Linked DNA regions of Stegostoma tigrinum. The protein of the gene in region 3 purifies or fractionates together with the protein of the main gene of each other region. This does not show direct contact. Links are inferred from orthologs where the notes say so. Each region holds a gene or a part of one and is shown on either strand. Other genes may lie near its edges.

The links. The genes of interacting proteins can lie anywhere in the genome.
Region 1: the proteins of slmapa (region 3) and fgfr1op2 purify together in Homo sapiens (affinity purification with mass spectrometry; 3 studies listed by BioGRID and IntAct, with this or other methods). This does not show direct contact. The link is inferred for Stegostoma tigrinum from reciprocal best matches to the Homo sapiens genes SLMAP and FGFR1OP2.
Region 2: the proteins of slmapa (region 3) and serine/threonine-protein kinase 3/4 purify together in Homo sapiens (co-immunoprecipitation; 3 studies listed by BioGRID and IntAct, with this or other methods). This does not show direct contact. The link is inferred for Stegostoma tigrinum from reciprocal best matches to the Homo sapiens genes SLMAP and STK4.

The regions. Positions count from the first base shown.
Region 1 is NC_081371.1:59,158,087-59,165,150, reverse strand, and holds the start of fgfr1op2 (FGFR1 oncogene partner 2 homolog), read right to left. Parts: upstream 3,018-7,064; 5' UTR 2,944-3,017; intron 1,277-2,943; 5' UTR 1,090-1,276; intron 173-1,089; 5' UTR 171-172; coding exon 36-170; intron 1-35. UniProt on the Homo sapiens protein: May be involved in wound healing pathway.
Region 2 is NC_081372.1:9,270,749-9,277,863, reverse strand, and holds the start of serine/threonine-protein kinase 3/4, read left to right. Parts: upstream 1-4,098; 5' UTR 4,099-4,146; coding exon 4,147-4,178; intron 4,179-7,115. UniProt on the Homo sapiens protein: Stress-activated, pro-apoptotic kinase which, following caspase-cleavage, enters the nucleus and induces chromatin condensation followed by internucleosomal DNA fragmentation.
Region 3 is NC_081364.1:53,148,554-53,156,562, forward strand, and holds the start of slmapa (sarcolemma associated protein a), read right to left. Parts: upstream 3,011-8,009; 5' UTR 2,467-3,010; coding exon 2,269-2,466; intron 1-2,268. Other genes in the region: dennd6aa (DENN/MADD domain containing 6Aa), read left to right, coding at 3,996-4,181; transmembrane protein 169-like, read right to left, coding at 5,239-5,273. UniProt on the Homo sapiens protein: Associates with the striatin-interacting phosphatase and kinase (STRIPAK) core complex, forming the extended (SIKE1:SLMAP)STRIPAK complex.

The DNA of each region.
Region 1 (7,064 bases), on a different chromosome or scaffold from region 3:
AAATGATTGCAGAATAATTGTTGTATATCACTCACCTGCTTCATGGCCTCCACTCGCTTGTTCAGTGCAGTGGTCTGTTCAATGAGAGCTTCTGCTGCACTGTCATGTTCTTTCAATCGTTCCACCAGCGCTTTTGCATCAGCCAGAACCTTCTCTATAGTACAACTCATTTCTGTAAAAGGAAAGACTGTTTTTCTGGGTCGACACAGAGTGAAGATGGTGGAACACAGCAGGTCAGCAGCATCAGAGGAGCAGGAGAGTCGATGTTTCGGGCCTAGACCCATCATCGGTCCTGATTCCTGGAGTCAGCCTGACCCGCTGTGTTCCTTCAGCTCCACACTATTGATTCTGATTCCGGCATCCGCAGACCTTGCTGTCTGTTTTACTGGGTGCCAGAGTACACGGCTCACAGAACACGAAACAGATTGTATTGGTGTACCATCCTGCAGCAGACAGAAAACATTCAATCCTGTTGCACAACTCATCAGAATGGCTGCTCATCAAGCTCCGTGCTCTCCCAGACCGCTGCAAATCTTCATTTACCACTAGGGGTTGTGCTGGCAAGGTAGGAACCAAACTTGTACAATGCAAGACACCATTAACCACATCTGGGAGCACTGTTCCATTTCAGGAAAGTTATTTGTGTTTGAAACACTGGTCTTAAATAGGATCTTTAAAGACTATTGCACCCTTAAAAGGATCCTCACTGAAGACAACACAGCTCTGTCTCAGTGCCGCACTGGAGCAGTCAGTTTAGGCCATCGGTAAACCCACCAGACTGTAGGTAAGGGTCCGAACAATTAAGCCCTGCTGATAGCAGGAAAAACAGAAAATGCCATGACAAAAACAAATCTGTCAAATGCTTCAGAGAATGACTTTACAAAAAGACATCCTTCAAAGACTAGACTTTGACAGCTGCAGAAATTCTCTTGTGTTTTAATCACACTAATTACCAGCCTAATTAGCCAGTGTTTCAGATAAACTGGGTTGTCATTTCAATAGCTAAGGCATATTCTGTGTTGTTACTGAAATTACAAAGAAACTTTGGCTCACAGACTGCTTTGTAACATCAAATGAAAAATCACAGACCTGAAGCACCAACTATGTTCTGATCTCCCCGAATACAGCCAGCAGCTGAGTATTTTCACTAATTTCTGTATTTACTTCAGGTTTCCAGCATCTGCAGCATTTTTCTGTTGTTGCATTTATAACTAGGCTGTTTTTGACGGCAAATTAGATGTCTTGGGGTCGCAAGAACCTTACTCCCCATTCACACCTACACACACAGGATCAAAGTTTTACTTCTGTGTTGTCGAGTTATAAATAATAACAAGCAATTCAGGTGCAAACACAACATAAGCCCGTTGTAAGCCAATCTGACACGGCACTGAACCCAGGCAAAGGAAAACAAGGCAGACAGTCACTATGTATTGGGGAGGGGTCTCACAGAAGTATGGAAACTGCTACAACATGGAAGCTGGAGGAGGAGAGTGAGGGAGGGTGCAAGGGGAAGGTGGTAGTGAGAGAGGGATGGGGGGAGAGGGATGGGGGGAGAGGGGTGGGGGGAGAGGGGTGGGGGGAGAGGGGTGGGGTGGGGGGAGAGGGGTGGGGGGAGAGGGGTGGGGGGAGAGGGGTGGGGGGAGAGGGGTGGGGGGAGAGGGGTGGGGGGAGAGGGGTGGGGGGAGAGGGGTGGGGGGAGAGGGGTGGGGGGAGAGGGGTGGGGTGGGGGGGTGGGGTGGGGGGGTGGGGGGAGAGGGGTGGGGTGGGGGGGGAGGGGGGGGGGGGAGGGGAGGGGGGGGAGGGGAGGGGGGGGAGGGGGTGGGGGGGAGGGGGGTGGGTGGGGAGGGGGTGGGGGGGAGGTGGGTGGGGAGGGGGTGGGGGGGAGGGGGTGGGGGGGAGGGGGGTGGGGAGGGGGGTGGGGAGGGGGGTGGGGGGGAGGAGGGGGGTGGGGAGGGGGGTGGGGGGGAGGAGGGGGGGGAGGAGGGGGGTGGGGGGGAGGAGGGGGGTGGGGAGGGGGGTGGGGGTGGGGGGGGGGAGTGGGGGGTGGGGGGGGGAGTGGGGGTGGGGGGGGGAGTGGGGGTGGGGGGGGAGTGGGGGTGGGGGGGGAGTGGGGGTGGGGGGGGGGAGTGGGGGGTGGGGGGGGGAGTGGGGGTGGGGGGGGGAGTGGGGGGGAGTGGGGGTGGGGGGGGAGTGGGGGTGGGGGGGGAGTGGGGGTGGGGGGGGAGTGGGGGTGGGGGTGGGGGGGAGTGGGGGTGGGGGTGGGGGGGAGTGGGGGGGGAGTGGGGGTGGGGGGGAGTGGGGGGGGAGGGGGAGTGGGGGGGGGGAGTGGGGGGGAGGGGGAGTGGGGGGGGAGTGGGGGTGGGGGGGAGGGGGAGTGGGGGGGGAGTGGGGGTGGGGGAGGGGGGAGTGGGGGTGGGGGAGGGGGAGGTGGGAGTGGGGGGGGAGTGGGGGAGGGGGGAGTGGGGGTGGGGGAGGGGGGAGTGGGGGTGGGGGTGGGGGAGGGGGGAGTGGGGGTGGGGGAGGGGGGAGTGGGGGTGGGGGAGGGGGAGGTGGGGGAGGGGGGAGTGGGGGTGGGGGAGGGGGAGGTGGGAGTGGGGGTGGGGGTGGGGGAGGTGGGAGTGGGGGTGGGGGAGGTGGGAGTGGGGGTGGGGGAGGTGGGAGGGGGGGTGGGGGAGGTGGGTGGGTGGGGGGGAGAAGTGGGTGGGGGGAGGTGGGGGGGTGGACGGGGGAGGTGGGGGGGGGGAGTGGATGGGGGGGGTGGGGGGGGTGGGTGGGGTGGGGGGGGTGGGGGGGGGTGGGGGGGGTGGGGGGGGTGGGTGGGGTGGGGGGGGTGGGTGGGGTGGGGGCGGATGGTGGGTTGTCCCTGGGAGGTCAGGACCCTATCGACTCCCTGCGCCGCAGCCTTGGAGACCCCTCGCGGCTCCTTCCCGCTCCATATCTCACCGACTCAGAACCGTTGCTGCTGCCGCCGTTTCCATGAACCTCTCGGCGGTCAAAGGCCGGAACCGGAAATGCCCCAACAACCCAGGGGCGGAACCGCGCGTGCGCAACCCCGGCGCGCCGCGCGGTGCACGCAGGGGATTGTAGTTCGCTGCAGTGCGCATGCCTGATGCTCCACGGATTTCACCTCCAGGCTACAGGCGGCGCTGTCCAAAGGAAAACGCATTTGCAACATTCAGGTGCAAATGTGTCAAACAGGAACAACCATGTGGCCAAACCATGTGGCAAAACCAGTGGGAAATCCAACCGGAACCCATTGGGTTAGTCACCAGACATGTGGCTGTTTGTCATTTTGGGGGAACTGTTAGCTTGGAAAATGACTGACAGACAGGAATGCCCATGTCAGGAGTGTTTCAGCCTCTCACACTGATCCCTCAATTATCTTTCTCAAGAAAAGTGATTTCTCACATTGATTCGAATAGACAGATGTTTGATGACCATGCACACATGATGGGCTGAAGGGCCTTCTTCTGTGTCGTAAAAAAACTCTGAGGTCAGACGACACCAGGTTATAGTCCAACAGGTTTATTCGAAATCCCAGGCTTTCCAATTGTAGAGATAGCAGGAACTGCCGATGGTGGAGTATCTGATACAACACGGTGTAGAGCTGGATCAAAGGAGCAGGAAAGCTTGACGTTTTGGGTCGGGACCCTTCTTCAGAAATGGGGGAGGGGAAGGGGGTTTCTGAAATAAATAGGGAGACGGGGGGAGGCGGAGAGAAGATGGATAGAGGGGAAGATCGGTGGAGAGGAGACAGACAGGTCTAAGAGGCAGGGTTAGAGCCAGTGAATGTGAATGTAGGTGAGGAGTTAGGGATGGGATAGGTCAGTCCAGGGAGGACGGATATGTCGGCGGGGGTGCGGGATGAGGTTAGTAGGTAGGGGATGGGGGTGGGGCTTGAGGTGCCTTTGTCAGGTGAAGCCCTGACAGAGGAGCAGTGCACTAAAAGTTTGTGATTTCAAATAAACCTGTTGGACTATAAACTGGTGGCATCTGAATTCTGACTTTGTCCACCCCAGTTGAACACCAACCTCTACATCATAAAAAATGCTACGTGTGGAAGACCTTTGTGATCCTTTTAAGAATTCTGATTTAGTGATCGTGTTTTTTTTTGTTTGACTGTGCACCAATATATCACCAATACTCTTGCTTGCCTTTACACACACTATTTGCCTTGCCCCCACTCTGACCAGTTGTTCACGCTCTTCCCACTTACATTTATGATTCCTCTAACATTATGTTCTATTATAATTTCCAGTTTCCTGGCCGCAGACAACACCTCTTCACCATGGGTGTATAATCCTTACACACAGCTATCCCCATCAGGATGTTCTGGCAGTTGTCTACTACTTCCTTGAAAAGAGGGCTGAATGATTCCTATCCTCCAGCACCTGACTGAGCTCATTTTAAGTCTGAACAACCCCTTTAACTTGTTCAATTTTCTCTCAGTCAAAGGAGTGGCTATGAGGACCTGCATTGGGCCCAGTTGTGCCTATCTCTTTGCAATTTGAGCAACATTCCTTCAGTCCTAATCAGGAACCCTCCCAATGACATCATTAGTGCTGACACTGGTCTGGAATCAGAAAAATTAATTAGCTTTGCTTCCCATTTCCAACCTGGTCTCACCTTCATCTGGTCTATTTTGACTCTTCTTTCCCTGCCCTTAATTCCCATGCTTCCATTTCTGGGGATAGGCTGTCCACCAATATCCATTACAATCCCAGTTACCGTGGCTACACATCTGCAAATCTTATGTCCTGCAAGGACTCCATTCCATTTTCCCAGCATCTCCATCTCCTTTTGCATCTTTTCCAACGATGCCAGATTCCACCTTGTGGTATCCAACATGATATCCTTTTGTGTCAACTGAGAAATTCTGCCCTTTAAGGAATTCCTCCCTCCCCACCCTCATTGTAGCTGACAGACCCCTGAACCATGTGCAATCTGTCTCTCCCATTTTTCCATCAACAATGATAGGATTCCCTTTGTCCTCACTCCCCACCAGTGTGCACATCCAAAGGATCCTTCATTGGCTCTTCTGCCACCTCCAGCAGGATGTTACCACCAACACATCTTCCCCTTCCCTCCAATGTCAGCATTCCACAGGAACAATTCTCTCTATAACAGTCCAAGCACTTCCTTACTGTCCAAACGTACCTGCTCCAGGTGAAGCAGTGTATTGTAGTGTACTATCTAGTGTATTGTATTCACTGCTCACAATGCAGTCTCCTTTACACTGGTGAGACAAAGTGTAGACTGGATGATCACTCTATGGAACCATTCCAATCTGTCGATAGGAAGAACCTTCTTGTTGCTTGTTGTTTCAATGCCATTATCTTGCTCTCTTGCCAACATTTCCATCCTAGACCTGCTGCAGCGTTACAGCAAAGCTCAACGCAAGTGGAGACGCAGCACCTGGTTTTCCTCTGAGGCACTTTACAGCCGCCAGAGCTCAACACAGAGTTCAACAACGTTCCAGCATGTACACTCTTCTCCAGTGACCATAGTTCTGTTACTTTTAAATAGTTATGGAGAAGGGCAAAACTGGCCCACAGGTTCAAATTCTAAATTGGAGCAAGGTGAATTTTGATGGAAAGAGACAGGAGCTTGCAGGGGTTGATTAGAATAGTTTGTTTACAGGTAAAGGGATCTCTGGCGAGTGGGAGGCCTTGAAAAGTGTGATAGGTAGAGTTTTAGGTCTATAAGCTCCTGTGAGGGTGACGGGCAAGGTTGGCAGGAATAGGGAACTCTGGATGACAAGAGATATTGAGCTTTTACCAGAAAGAAAAGGAGGCATGACTCAGGTAAAGGCAGCTGGGATCAAAGGGATCCCTGAAGGTATAGTGGGGATTCAGGAATTTACTGAAGGAGGAAATCAGGAGGGTGAAAAGGGGAGACAGCTTTGGCTGAGAAGGTTAGGGTGAATCCAAAGACATTCTTTAAGTATATAAAAAAAGAGGAATAACTAGAGAGAGAATAAGACCCCTCAAGGACCAAAGTGGACATGTGTGTGTGTGGAACCACAGGGGATGGGTGAGGTCCTAAATGAATATTTCTCCTCTGTGTTTACCGTGGAGAAAGAACATGAAGACTAGGGAACTTGGGGAGGTTAGTGGTGATATATTTGGGACAATCTATATCACAGTACAGGAGGCTTTGGAAGTACTAGAATATACAAAGGTGGATAAATCTCCTGGTCCTGACCAGATATGTCCAAGAACCCTGCAAAAGGCTAGGGAAGGAATTGCGGGATCCCTGGCTGATATAGTTGCATCATTATTAGCCATAAGTGAGGACCCACAAGACTGGAGGGTAGTGAATGTTGTGCCTTTATTCACAAAGAGCTGTAAAGAATAACCTGGGAATTGTAGATAAATAAGCTTAACGTCTGTGGTAGGTAAGTTACCGGAGAAGATTCTGAGGGATAAGACATACATACATTTAGAAAGACAGGTTTGATTAGGAGTAGTCAGCATGGCTTTGTGCATGGGAGTTCAAGCCTCACAAAATATGTTAGAGTTCTTTGATGAAGTGACCAGGAAGCTGATGAGGGCGGGGTAGTAGATGTAGTCTACATGGATTTCAGTAAGGCCTTTGATAAGGTTCCACATGGTAGGCTGCTCTGGAAGGTTAGATCACATTAAATCCAGGGAGAGCTGGCAATTTGGATAGACAAGTGGCTTGATGGTAGGAAACAGAGGATAATAGTGGAAGGATGCTTGTCTGACTGGAGGCTTGTGCCTCAGGAGTCAGTGCTGGGCCCATTTCTGTTTGTTGCCCATATCAATGATTTGGATGAAAATGTACAAGGCATAATTCTTAAGTTTGCGTATGACACTGAAATAGGTGGTATTGTGGACAGTGAGGAAGGTATTCAGTAATTGCAGCAGGATCTTGATCAGCTGGGGAAGTTAGCCGATAAATGGCAAATGGAGTTTAATATAAATAAGTGTGAGGGTGCGGCATTTGGAAAGTCAAATCAAGGTAGGAGTTTCATGGTGAATGGTCGGGCCTTAAAGTGTTTAGTGGAAGAGAGGGACCTTGGAGCTGAGGTGCACAGTTCT
Region 2 (7,115 bases), on a different chromosome or scaffold from region 3:
TTTAGAATTTTTACTTTTTGTGTGCCACGTCTGTGGGACTCAACAATACGCACAATTCAAACTTATGTCATGTATTTCTTTAAAACTATTTAGGTGGTGTATGACATGCTGCTTTTATGAAATATCTGAACTTTATTTCCCAATTTCACTGTTTTCTGTGTGAGATTTGTCATTAAAGTCTTGTCTTTCAAATGGATCCCTCAAAACAAAGTTAAATTCAATGTGGAGAGCAACTGATGCCATTTAGTAAATTTGATGTATATTTCCTTCTATGCAAGTGATTCTTATACTGCTTAGAATAAAACACTTTTGTCATGACCAACTAGGCATTCATTGTTTGTTTTTTTTATTTTGTGATGTTCAAGTCCCTTGCTTTCATGTGTGATTACATTTCTAGGCTGTAGTGGTGATGGAATTGGGAATGCGGAGTGCGCAAATCCCACAGTGGCAAATTAGAATTGAAACTTGTTAGTGTGCTTGAATCCTGGACGCCTAGCACTCAAACTGGAATTCCGTTAACAAACATTTAGAGCTGGACCCTCAAATACCAATCTCTACAAAGCAAATCCAGAAGTGATGCCATCCACTCCAGCAAACTGAGATACAGAAACATTAAGTGGGATAGAAAAAACTTACCAGCTCAGTGAGCAGGAATACCTCTCTCTCTTCCCCCTCTCTTTCTGTGTCTGGCTGACAGCCTATGCAATGTGAATGTGGCATTTTAAAAACTCCTACTTTAGAAATTAAACCAGTTTGACTCCAAACTAAAACACTGATTCTAATCAAGGTTTCACACCTGACACGCTTTAAAATGTCACTGCCTCTTTACGCTGATAAAACCTTTGGTCCTTTCAGCATAATCCAATTATCACCTTTCAAGTCATTATCTTGTTCCTTTTTTTGAAGTCTCTCCTCTGACGCTTCATTGGAGGTGCTCACAGAGGACATTTTTTGTTTCCCAGTGAATTTCATTCTTAAATGTTACATTTGTAAGTTAAGACTGGCTGTAGTTTTTGCCTGAAAAAACGACTTGTCTAAAAGTTCAATATATCCATAAGTAATTCAGCTTTCTGATCCATTGTCATGAAACCACACATACACCTACTTGTCAATGTCCTATTTAAATCTTAAACTGACCCCTTGACAGATCTAAGTTTTATACCATTTGCAAATTTTGAAATTGTGCCTGTACATCAAATTCTGGGTGATTAATATATATCAGGAAGAGACAAACTATTTCTTCTGATGAGTTGGAGCCTAGAATAAGAGAAGATGATTTGGTTCAAAATGTCATTGTCCATTGTGAATATAAGCTTTTCCCTGCTTTAGCTCATTTCTCTGGAATTGAGTAGATTAATATTTTCTATATGTATGTGTGATGCATCATCTACCTTAAGTTCATGAATGGCCAAAAATATTCTCTCTGACCTATTCACACAAGTCAATTTATGATTGCATAATGCTTTGTAAATTATTTTATACTTTTCTGGAAGATAAATCATTATATTACATAGTCTTTTAAGCACCTTAGCATTATCCAATCAGACTGATAAGATAGCAAATTCCTAATCTTTTGGATTATAACTGCATTGATGGATATTATACTTTTGGTAACAGGACGAGGGGGATCTAGACATATACCAAAGGCCAATGTACCACAAAGCAATGCAACTGAGGTCTCCCTATCCGAAAGCTTGAATGAAACAAATTCAGTGGTTGCTTTTGGAAAATAATTGGATAAAAAGTTGAGAGAGGGAGTAACTAGGACAATGAGGGCGAGAGCAGGAAGTGATGCAATTCAAAAATACAGTATAAATAAGATGATCTGAGTGGCTACTTTCTGAGACTTTTTTCTGACTTTTGCAAAGTGAGAATCGACTAAAATTCCAGATTTTGGACAGGTCAGAACAGTTCTCCACTTAGAGAAGAATTTGATAAAGATGTTCAGTCATGAGGGTTTGGAGTAGACAGGGATAAATTGTTGACGCTTGCATAGATAATTGACCAAAGAAGTAGTAGTGACAAGAAGAAAAAAATTCCACACTGTGGATGGAATGCGCTGTTTCACATTTTTTGGTGACAGGTGTCAGTTCAGTGGAAACACTTAGGAGGGATCATTGACTGAAAAGGAAAAATGTACAGGGCTGCAGGAATTTGTAAAGAGATGGTACTCTTTGGGGAATTGATCCTTAATGGGGAAGACTATATGAGTCAAATGAACGTAAAATACTGCAGATGCTGGAACTCTGAAATAAAAACAAAGTGATGGAGAAACTCAGCAGCATCTGTGGAGTAAGAAATAGAATTAACGTTCTGAGTGCAGTAATGGCCAAATGCTGTTGGTCCCATTCTATTGATAACAAGGTGTGGAGCCGGATGAACACAGCAGGCCAAGCAGCATCTCAGGAGCAGGAAAGCTTTCCTGCTCTTGAGATGCTGCTTGGCCTGTTGTGTTCATCTGGCTCCACACCTTGTTATCTCGGATTCTCCAGCATCTGCAGTTCGTATCATCTCCAGTCCATTCTATAATTCGTTGTTGAGGTGCAGTGCTGGAAGAGGGATGTGGTCAATGCACCGACACGGACTGAGGCCAGAGCAATGCACGATGGTAGACAAATAGAGGAAAAGGCCATTCGGTCCAACCACTTGATGCTGGTGTATCTGCTGCATCCGTATGGGAATGAAAACAATGGAGGAGAACTGAAACAAAGAAACCTACAGCACAGGAACAGGCCCTTTGGCCCTCCAAGCCTGTGCCGATCAAGATCCTCTGTCTAGCCTGTCATCTATTTTCTAACGGTCTGTGTCCATTTGCTCCCTGCCCATCCATGTACCTGTCCAAATATATCTTAAAAGACGCTAACGTGTCTGCGACTACCACCTCCGCTGGCAAAGTGTTCCAGGCGCCCATCACCCTCTGTGTAAAGAACTTTCCACGCATATCTCCCCGAAACTTTCCTCCCCTCAATTTGAACTCATGACCCCTAGTAATGCAGTCCCCCACTCTGGGAAAAAGCTTCTTGCTATCCACCCTGTCCATACTCCTCATGATTTTGTAGACCTCAATCAGGTCCCCCTCAATCTCCGTCCTTCTAATGAAAATAATCCTAATCTATTCAACCTCTCTTCATAGCTAGCACCCTCCATACCAGGCAACATCCTGGTGCACCTCCTCTGCACCCTCTCCAAAGCATCCACATCCTTTTGGTAATGTGGCGACCAGAACTGTACACAGTATTCCAAATGTGGTCGAACCAAAGTCCTATACAACTGCAACGTGACCTGCCAACTGTTGTACTTAATACCCCGTCCAATGAAGGAAAGCATGCCATATGCCTTCTTGACCACCCTGTTGACCTGCGTTGTCACCTTCAGGAAACAATGGACCTGAACACCCAGATCTCTCTGTTCATCAATTATCCCCAGGACTTTTCCATTTACTGTATAGTTCGCCCTTGAATTTGATCTTCCAAAATGCATCACCTCGCATTTGCCCGGATTGAACTCCCATCTGCCATTTATCTGCCCAACTCTCCAGTCTATCTATATTCTGCTGTAATCTCTGACAGTCCCCTTCACGATCTGCTACTCCACCAATCTTAGTGTCATCAGCAAACCTGCTGATCAGACCACCTACACCTTCCTCCAAATCATTTACATATATCACAAACAACAGTGGTGCCAGCACAGATCCCTGTGGAACACCACTGGTCACAGGCCTCCAATTTGAGAAACTCCCTTCTACTACTACCCTCTGTCTCCTGTTGCCCAGCCAGTTTTTTATCCATCTAACTAGCACACCCTGGACCCCATGTGACTTCACTTTCTCCATCAGCCTGCCATGAAGCTGAAAGGGTGGGTGCAATCAATAGAAAGAGAAAGTTAAGGGAAAGAAAAGAACAAAATCTGGTTGCGAACTTTACTGCCATGCACTTCCATCCCGTTGCAATTGCAGAGCCAACTATATTTCCGCCCCACACGATGGAAGGAACCACTTCCGCCCCGCTAGTGGCGTCTGTCGCAACGTCCGCCCCCACTGGACGTGGATCGACGTAGCTTCCGCCCCGCAAATGCGTCACTTGGAGAGTTTCCGGGAAGGGGATTTCCGGCTCGAGGCGGAAGTGAACAGTATAGGAGCGGTGAGACATGGAGGAGGTCCAGCGGAGGCATCCGCGGCGGTAAGAACCCAAAGAGGGAGAGCGGGAGGAGGATGTTCGGGATGCTGGGGAATGGGTACGGGAAAAATGGCGAGAGGAGCGAGGGCTGTGGTTGTCAGGGCAGAAATAACCCCCTTGAGGGCCGTCAATTTCGTTCCCCCGACTTAAGGACAACTACCCTGCTCCCCTCCGACTTCTTTCCCCACCCCCCCATTCCCCCCCCTTCTTTTCCTCCCCCTCCTCTTCCCCCCCCATCTCTTCTCCCCCCCCCACCCCCACTCCCCCCCCCACCCCCACTCCCCCCCCCCCACCCCCACTCCCCTCCCCCACCCCCACTCCCCCCCCCCACCCCCACTCCCCCCCCCACCCCCACCCCCACTCCCCCCCCCCACCCCCACCCCCACTCCCCCCCCCACCCCCACTCCCCCCCCCACTCCCCCCCCCACCCCCACTTCCCCCCCACTCCCCCCCCCACCCCCACTTCCCCCCCCACCCCCACTTCCCCCCCCACCCCCACTTCCCCCCCCACCCCCACTTCCCCCCCCACCCCCACTTCCCCCCCCCCACCCCACCCCCACTTCCCCCCCCCCCACCCCACCCCCACTTCCCACCCCCACTTCCCACCCCCACTTCCCACCCCCACTTCCCCCCCCCACCCCCCCACCCCACCCCCACTTCCCCCCCACTTCCCCCCCCACCCCACCCCCACTTCCCCCCCCACCCCACCCCCACTTCCCCCCCCACCCCACCCCCACTTCCCCCTCTTCCCCCCCACCCCCTCTTCCCCCCCCACCCCCTCTTCCCCCCCACCCCCTCTTCCCCCCCCACCCCCTCTTCCCCCCCCAACCCCCTCTTCCCCCACCCCCTCTTCCCCCCCCACCCCCTCTCTCCCCCCCACCCCCTCTTCCCCCCCCCACCCCCCCACTCCCCCCCACCCCCCCACTCCCCCACTCCCCCCCCCACCCCCCCCACTCCCACCCCCACCCCCCCACTCCCACCCCCACCCCCCCACTCCCACCCCCACCCCCCCACTCCCACCCCCACTCCCCCCACTCCCACCCCCACTCCCCCCCACTCCCACCCCCACTCCCCCCACTCCCCCCCCCACTCCCCCCCTCCCCCCCCACCCCCACTCCCCCCCCCACTCCCCCCCCCACTCCCCCCCCCACTCCCCCCCCCACTCCCCCCCCCCCCCACTCCCCCCCCCACTCCCCCCCCCACTCCCCCCCCCCCCACTCTCCCCCCCCACTCCTCCCCCCCCACTCTCCCCCCCCACTCTCCCCCCCCCCACTCCCCCCCCCCCCACTCCCCCCCCCACTCTCCCCCCCCACTCCCCCCCCACCCCCACTCTCCCCCCCCCACTCCCCCCCCCACTCCCCCCCCCCACTCCCCCCCCCACTCCCCCCCCCACCCCCACTCCCCACTCCCCCCCCCCACTTCCCCCCCCACCCCCACTCCCCCCCCCACCCCCACTTCCCCCCCCCCACCCCCCACTCCCCCCCCCACCCCCACTCCCCCCCCCCACCCCCACTTCCCCCCCCACTTCCCCCCCCACTTCCCCCCCCCACTTCCCCCCCCACCCCCACCCCCCACTTCCCCCCCCACCCCCACCCCCACTACCCCCCAACTCCCACCCCACCCCCCCCACTTCCCCCCCCCACCCCCCACCACTTCCCCCCCACCCCCACTTCCCCCCCACCCCCACTCCCCCCCCCACCCCCACTCCACCCCCACTCCCCCCCCCACCCCCACTCCACCCCACTCCCCCCCCCACCCCCACTCCCCCCCCCACCCCCACCCCCACCCCCCACCCCCCACTCCCCCCCCCCACCCCCACTTCCCCCCCCACTTCCCCCCCCACTTCCCCCCCCACCACTTCCCCCCCACTTCCCCCCCCCACTTCCCCCCCACTTCCCCCCCACTTCCCCCCCCACTTCCCCCCCCCCACTTCCCCCCCCCACTTCCCCCCCACTTCCCCCCCCCACTTCCCCCCCCCACTTCCCCCCCCCACTTCCCCCCCCCACTTCCCCCCCCACTTCCCCCCCCACTTCCCCCCCCCCACTTCCCCCCCCACTTCCCCCCCCACTTCTCCCCCCACCCCCACTCCCCCCCCACCCCCACTCCCCCCCCACCCCCACTCCCCCCCCACCCCCACTTCCCCCCTCACTCCCACTTCCCCCCCCACTTCCCCCCCCACCCCCCACCCCCCCAACCCCCACTTCCCCCCCAACCCCCACTTCCCCCCCAACCCCCACTTCCCCCCCCACCCCCACTTCCCCCCCACTTCCCCCCCCCACCCCCACTCCCCCCCCACTCCCCCCCCCACTTCCCCCCCCCACTTCCCCCCCCACTTCCCCCCCCACTTCCCCCCCCACTTCCCCCCCCCACTTCCCCCCCCACTTCCCCCCCCACTTCTCCCCCCCACTTCTCCCCCCCACTTCTCCCCCCCACTTTCCCCCCCCCACCCCCACTTCCCCCCCCCCCCACTTTTCCCCCCCCCACCCCCACTTCCCCCCCCCACCCCCACTTCCCCCCCCACCCCCACTTCCCCCCCCACCCCCACTTCCCCCCCCACCCCCACCTCCCCCCCCACCCCCACTTCCCCCCCCCCACCCCCACTTCCCCCCCCCACCCCTACTCCCCCCCCACCCCTACTCCCCCCCCCCCACCCCCACTTCCCCCCCCACCCCCACTTCCCCCCCCACCCCCACTCCCCCCCCACTCCCCCCCCCCACTCCCCCCCCCACTCCCCCCCCCCACTTCCCCCCCCACTCCCCCCCCCCACTCCCCCCCCCCCACTCCCCCCCCCACTTCCCCCCCCCACTTCCCCCCCCCCACTCCCCCCCCACTCCCCCCCCCACTCCCCCCCCCACTCCCCCCCCCACTCCCCCCCCACTCCCCCCCCCCACTCCCCCCCCACTCCCCCCCCCCACTTCCCCCCCCACTTCCCCCCCCACT
Region 3 (8,009 bases):
TAGAAATAAATTTGTAACAGTAATGGGCCATGCTAGACTTGCTTAAAGAGGACAAGGCAGTGCCGCTCAGTTTCAGGCTGAAATCAACAGTGGGCTCTAATACTAAGTTTGAACACCGTCCAGAAAGCTAAGTAGAAATGCGGGTGCAAATGCAGCGACAATAAAGGATATTCTATTCCAAAGAACAGCCTCCCACTGGCAGAAACATTGCCCAGGGTACCGTTACTGCCAGAGCTCTGAACTGTTTTAAATTTTCTGGACACACTTCCAGTCACAGCTCACAATATCAGACTGTAGACACAAAGATCCGGTGATGGCAAAACTAAAACATAATAAGGTAATAAGGGAAACCAACGGGCCATCACAACCAGAACTGAAACCTTTTCAAGTCCAGAGAGATCAGGTCAGAGTAGAGTACAGCATAATATTATGCTGCACTCGAGTGATTATCCTGAACAAACACTGCCACCAGATACTGGCTGAACTACACAATCATCATCCAGAGGTCCTGTGGCCAGGATTGAATGCAAACAGTGTTGCTGTGGCAGTGTTCAGAGTGCCATGAAGGACAAAAATAACTCTAAGCAGCTCCCCTACCTTCATGGGGATGGCCAAGTAAACACTGGGCTTGGTTATAAGGTGACTATACAGGTTCTTTCACAAGATCTAATCTTAGTCATTGTAGCCACTCGAAGTGGTTGGCCATGCTTAGAATTCATTCATCAAACACAGGGTCAATGATTGAAAGACTGTGCACATTATTTGCATAACAGTGACTCCCAGAAGTATTGGTCATAGATAATGGCCATCGTTCACTCGCAGGGAATTAGAGTCATTTCCTGAAATTGAATCGACATGCCATCCAGCATCCAATGGTCTGGTAGAAACAGCAGTCCAAACTTTGAGGCCAGGATTAAAGAAACAGCCTACAACTTCGCCGGATATCAAACTTTCCCCATTTCTATTTGATAATCAGACCATCCCTCATGGAACTAGAGGGATAGCTCTAGCAGAGTTGCTAACAGGGAGAAGACTCCAAGCCAGGTTAAATCTGAAATTCCCGGAATGGGGTGGGAGCGTGTGAGAGTGAGTGGAATGGCATCAGGAATGCCAATGCTTGATACATGACTCTGCTAAGTGAGACAGACTGTTTATTTGACGGGAAATAGTTTGGTGTAGGAATCACAGGAATGGGCATGCATTGGTAAGGGGCATGGTCATCGCAAGGACTCAAGTCCAGTGATGTATAAAGTTTAGGTAGGTATGATGGTCTGGAACAAGCATGTGGGCCATATGTAAGGCACAAATTTGCAAACAGGGCCGGGGCAAGTCAACTCAGGCACTTCAGAACTGTCAGAAAGGCTGGCTCTCCCTCTCCATCATGCACTGAGGAGAGCTTGGAATCTTAGGTGGATATGGCAGATGTCATCACCTTGATACCTTTGCCACCTGAGGAAGAGAATGAATATCCTCAGAGACACTCCGTGTACGAGTCAAAACTCCTGGGTATTGCATGTCACCCATATCAGAAGCAGAGTCGGAAGAACCTGACCCAGTGCTAAAATGACCCTGGAGGAGCTACAAGAGAAGGTACTGGCAGGGGTTGGGGGGGGGGGGGGGGGGGGGGGGTGGCGAGGGCGGGTGGGAAGGAGTGTTGTAAATATAATAAGCTGTAAATTAATGATAACAAAGAGTCACGGACAAAAAAGTAAAAAGCAAAAAAAGCAACAAAGCATAGCTGTCAAGGTACTGTGTTTTTTTTGCCATAGGTTATGCAACTTCCATTACACAGATAAACAGGACCACAGTCACCATTCAGGCTATACAGAGACTTGCTTTGCTTTGGCTTTGCACTCAAAAGGTGAATGAATAGATAAAAGATAACCTAAATGCAATAACTATTGTAACAAACAATAAAATGAATTATAAATGCAATTACTAAAATTGAAAGTAAAATGTTAAAAATAAAAACTTGATTCTGGAAATACCGCTGCTGCAATATGTAGTTAAAATGATCAGACAGTTTTACATCCAGGTTTTATAACTGATAAACTAAAAGAAAAAGTCAAGTCAATAATTAGCCTTAAATTAAACAATTTAATTTGTTTTAACTCAATAAAAGCGTTAACACGAAACTAAAATGAAAAATTGTTAAATCGATAACAGGAACGGGATCAAAAAATTCCCTCAACAGAACTGCGAAAGACTGTTCAGAATAATTGATATTTACAATCTAATCAAATAAAAAAAAAGGTGGTTCGTCCTTACCTTGCCTGTTTTGTGGTCGAACCAGATGAGAGCATGGTTTCTGGAAAGCACTTTGCAATCGAATGTGGCGTTATTTTGGGCTGGTCTGCAACGTGCCACCGATCGACCAATTTTGACAGGTTCGTCCAGGTAGACATGGCGTTCCTGAAAAGGGTGCGAATTTGGCCGACAGGTGAAGATGGCTAGTGCTGAAGGCATATGGGACTGGTGACGAGTCTCAGTCAAAGTCAAGAGGGGAAACTCGCCTTGATCCACTTCCTGATCCAGAGCGACAATGTCCGTTCAAAATATATTAGAAATGTAAAACAACCTGCTTTTATATATAAGTGAGAATATTTACACACAACATCCGCAAGCTCTTTCTGTACAAAATGAGAGATTCATCTTTCATCCGCTAACACACCCATCTCAATAAATCAGAAATAACTCGACGCATCTTCTGTCCTTGCCTGAAGATCTGTCCGTTGAGATTAGTCCATTAGGTCGGTGCTTATATACCGTCATCTAGCTTTTACAACGGTAAAAAAAATGAAGACTTATCAGTCTCAGACACTTAAGGACACGGGCACCTGACTTAGATAAAATCGTCGGTGTGCAATCAGAATTAGTGCTTTTTTTTGTCCCTCTTAGCCCGACAAGGTTATCGCCGAATTTGAGTCGGACACATTAAAAGCTGGTCTTACAGTAATAACTCGCACATCGCAAGTCCTCTTGTGGGCAAGGTGTTGGGGGTGGGGGGGGGGGGGGGGGGGAGGCCCTCGACAGTTACTGCGGAAAAAAAGAAATGGAACCGCCACTTTATCTTCTCAAAAGCACGTCCTGTCAGAGCCAAAGGAAGCAGAGTTAACAACTAGGCCTGAGGCCTGACTGAATCCTGATCACGGAGTCCAAAGTCGTGAACTTATGACCCGAAATCAAAACAAATCCTTTCGATCAAAGACCACGATTCAAGGAGCTCCCGATCCACAGCTGAAGGAAGCCACCCCCCCCCCCCTTTGATAAACAACTGATGCTGAAGTAGACAAGCTCGTTCGACACCTGCAGCCGTTACTGTTGTGGGACGAAATAGGAACTATTCTTCGCCTGTGCTTTTGCCCTCCACCGAACCCAAGCTTGTAACACGTCCCCCACAAGTCACTGAAGCCGCCATAGCTTCACCGCATAGGCAATAGCTTGACAGCGGAAGCACCGGCCGCCGTTAATTGACAAGCAACATAACCAATAGCGGCCAAGACAGTAGGCCGCGGACAGCCAATTGAGGTGTGCGCTGGGCGGGCAGCTGAGACAGCCGGTGGGTGTGTTGGGCGGTTGATTGACGCGGAAAATGAACCAAACATAAACAGGTGGGAAACGTGAGCCGTCCAGATTTAGCCAGACAGGCGGAACAGCGACCCGATCCAACCAAAGGTACCGGGTAAATCGGCCGGGAAAATCGGAATAATCGCGGCAATTTTACCGAGATTCAAGTGCATGTTGTCACCGTCATTAATTCTTTCACTGTTGTTAATTAAATTCACTTTTATGTATCACCATCGCTTCATCATGTGTGTCACAAATCTGATAAAGGGTGAAATCATTTCAAAAACTGGCAGTTGGGGAAACCTCAACTCCGTCAAACAAATCCAGGGCGTTTGGTTGACGTAACACGCAGCCGGTTACATCATCACGTCGCCGCCAAAAGCGAGTTAACGTCGTCCCCTCGGTCTGGGTAGTGTTGAGCGGAAAACATGGCTTTTCAAGCTCTGACAGGTGACTGTGATGATCTGGAGGCGTTGTTACAGAGGGTCATTCCCGACAAGGATTACCTGTGTAGTCCTGACAGGTCGCCATCACTGCCATGGGACGGGTTCGCTGCCTGGGTTCACTGTATCTGCGTGGTCGGGTTCGACCTGGAGCTGGGGCAGGCTGTCGAAGTGAGTTTCTGTAAATCCCAGAAATTGTAAATATATGTGTGTTTTAAGGAGAAGAAAGAGGTAATTACTTGCAGTAGGAAGTTGGTATTGGTCGTTGGCGATCAATGGGAATTGCATTTTTAACTTTTGCTTTTGTTTCGATGCGAAGGCCACCGTGTGTCTTGCAACGGAGCCGACGCTGTTCTTTGTGCCACCAAAAGTCAAGGCCATTTCTAAAATAATGCAACTAATTGTCTGTATTTACAATCTTAAATGTTTTGAAGTCAGTTTTTTTGCTATGTGAATCCATAGTGCAACGTTTGTAGATGTGTATCTATCGGAGCGGTTAATTTCGAAACAATTTTAATGAGAAGCGAAACGTATACCCAGTGCCCATTTTCATACTTAACGTGTCAGAAGCAATATCAAAAAGAGCTCCTGAGATAATGGGAACTTCAGATGCTGGAGAATCCGGGGATAACTAATTGTGGAGCTGGATGAACACAGTAAGCCAAGCAGCATCTTAGGAGTACAGAAGCTAAGATGCTGCTTGGCCTGCTGTGTTCATCCAGCTCCATACTTAGTTATCTCCAAAAAGAGCTTTCTGTTTGGTTTAATTAGCCGCTGTGCATAATAATTCTTCCTAAACTGAGATATTTGAGATGGCTGCATTGAAGTGCATAACTTTTAAATTTGATCAGTAGAATGTGTAAAATCTAATCAACGAAAATTTGCTAATTCCAAAAGCACATTGTTTTGAATCTTGAGCAATACAATAGCGCACAAGACATCAACATTTGAAATGTTAAGCCACTTTGTTTTCTTTAATATTAACATAATGAAGAATATTGAAAACTTTTATTTTGTGACTGCTTGGACAAAAAAATCAATTTCGAGTTAACTCTGTTGAGATTTTTAAAGACCTTATTACATTCTATGATCTGACTATAATTAGATGTATTATTCCAACACATTGTAGCCAAAAATGTCACTGTCATCATGTGCTCTGTTTTTCTATTTGAGAAGTCCTCATGAAGCATCGCTTCAATTTCTCTGCATCTGCTTTATTTTGAATCAGTTACACAACATCTGCGATCAACAGCCTGAAGAAGCCTTTTTTGAAAGAAAACAGTTAGTGTCTAAAGAGTTGCAATGTTACTAAATAACAAAAAGCAAGATAAGATTTTTCAATTGAAATGACACACTAACGACTCGTTTTCACATGTTAATTGTATTTTTAGAAAATGTAATTTTAATGCTAATAATATTTTTTAAATGCTGTTTAAAATAACAAGCTATTTTAATTACCATCATTTGCATTTACTGTGCAAGCTGTAAATGAGTCCTTAATGAGTATTGGATGGACGTATTCCCTATATTCAAGAGGGCACCGTGATGCCCAAAGATACTCCGGGCTGGGAGTGGAACTTGGAGAAGCATTTGCTATAATGTTTCAGTTTTCTTTAGGCATGTGTGGTGCCAGAGGCCTTGAGAACTGCAAACATTACGAATGTTCAAAAATGATGTGAAGACATGCCAAACAACTGTAGGTGATTTTGCTGTACTTTAGATGGCTGCTTTGTGATGCCAAATGATGGCTACAGAATGGGTTCAGTTTCACCATGATGGTGGCAAATTCTTGATCTTGAATCTGGTGTGAGATGGGGGTGACCCTTGGGTAAAACCAACCACCAGCCTCTTTCTCATGAGACAGCAGTGTATGGTGTTGTGGGACTATGGCAACTTTCAATTTGATGGGGAAGACTGTAGAATGAATAATTGAAGGAAAAAGCTTTCATAAAGGATAATAAAATCATGAGGGGCATAGGTAGAGTGAATAGCAAAGGTCTTTCTCCCAGGTTGGTGGAGTCCAAACCTGGAGGATGCAGGTTTAAGGTGAGAAAGGGAAAGCTACAAAGGCCTGAGGGGTACGTTTCCATGCAGAGGGTGGAATGAGCTGCCAGAGGCAGGTACTATTACAAAATTTAAAAAGCATCTGGATAGTTATATAAATAGGAAGAATTTAGAGGGATATGGGCCAAATGCTAGCAGTTGGGACTAGGTCGAATTGGGATGTCTGGTCCTCGTAAATAACTTGGACCAAAGGGTCTGTTTCCATGCTCTGTGACACTAAGTGACTTTACTTGGGCAAATGTACTGAATAAATATATTTAATGTGAATTTCCTGAGGTAAAATCCTGTTTAACCAACTTGTTAGATGCTTTCAAGATTTAAGAGAGTTGATGATGATGGCAAGGCAATTACTGTGTATTACATGGACTTTGGAAGGCTTTTGGTATAGTGCAGTGCAACAGAGTTCTAACCCAAGTTATAGCTCATGGAATAAATCAGAAACCAGTAACATGGATAAGATATGGCTGAGTAACAACAAATCAAGAGAAAGATCAGAACGCATAGGATTGGAAGTAAGCCATCAAATCTATTTTGCCATTCAACAAGGTCATGATTAATTTGATAATCCTGAACTCTCCTTCCATGCCCCATAACCCATGATTTCCCTCAATGATTAGAAATCTGTCTACCTCAGGCTTGAATATACTTGATAGTGCAGCCTTGACAGCTTTTTTTATGGTGAAGAATTCTACAGACTCACATTATGAATGTGATTGCATGATGGCTATTAAACATCACAGACACACAATAAGGTATAATATAGTAATTATTTCTTCGTTTGCAATAAATATCTTCTGTGCTGCAATGGCTCTGAATGTCTGTGGATACTTCAATCCACTTAAACAGATATATTTTTGAAAATTCATTCCTGGGATGTGAGCGTCCTAGTTTTGGGCCAACATTTATTACCCATCCCTAGGTGCCCTGGAGAAGCTGATAGTGAGCTGCATTCTTGGACTGCCGCAGCCCATTTCATTCAGTAAGATCTAGAATGCCATTTGGTGTGAATTCCTATATTTTGACCAGCAACAGTTGAAGGAACATCCATATGATTCCGAAATAGTGTGGTGAGTTTGAAGTATATCACCATACCTTAAGTGTTAGTGGGATAAAACCCCTAATGGCATTGTGCCCAAATACTGGCCTACCAGTGCTTGCCCTGTTCATACATGCTGTAAGCCCACTGACTACAGTTTTTATTGGCTAATGAATACATAGCATAATGTAAATGCTGTCAGAAATGTCCTGGACAGCTATAAGCATAATGAACATAGGTGCTGTTAATTCAGTACTAACTACAGAAGCCACATCACTATTTCAACTTAACACATTCTATCTGCTATTAGAAGCACAACTTGTATTGTGGAGCCAGGCTACATAACAGTATTTATTGTACAGTGCACTGCCATGTAGCCTTCCTTTTAGATACGTTATAATAAGGTAAAGTATTTCATAGTGGGAAAGGTGACAGCCGAGTTGTATAATCCCTGGACTGTTAATCCAGAGATCCAAGTATGCTCTGTGGACCTGGGTTTGAATCCTGCTTTGACAGATGGTCGAATTCAATACAAAATATGGAATTAAGAGTTTTTAGTAATGACTATGAATTGATTGTCAGAGAAACGCATTTGCTTCACTAATATCCTTTAGGAAAGGAAACAGCCATCCTTATGTCGCCTGGCCTACATGTGACTCCAGACCCACAACAGTGTGGTTCCCTTGACTGCCCTCTGGGCAATGAGGGATGGGCAATATCTGCTGGTGTAGCCAGTAATGCCCTCATCCTGTGAATGGAAAAAAAAATTTGCTTCATTTTACTATTTCCAGGAGGAAGGTATTGGAACTATTAATACTTATTCTTAATATCAGAAAATTGTTCTTCACTTTCAAAATATGCATTTTTAATGAAGTAACATATTTCGACCTGTTTTACCA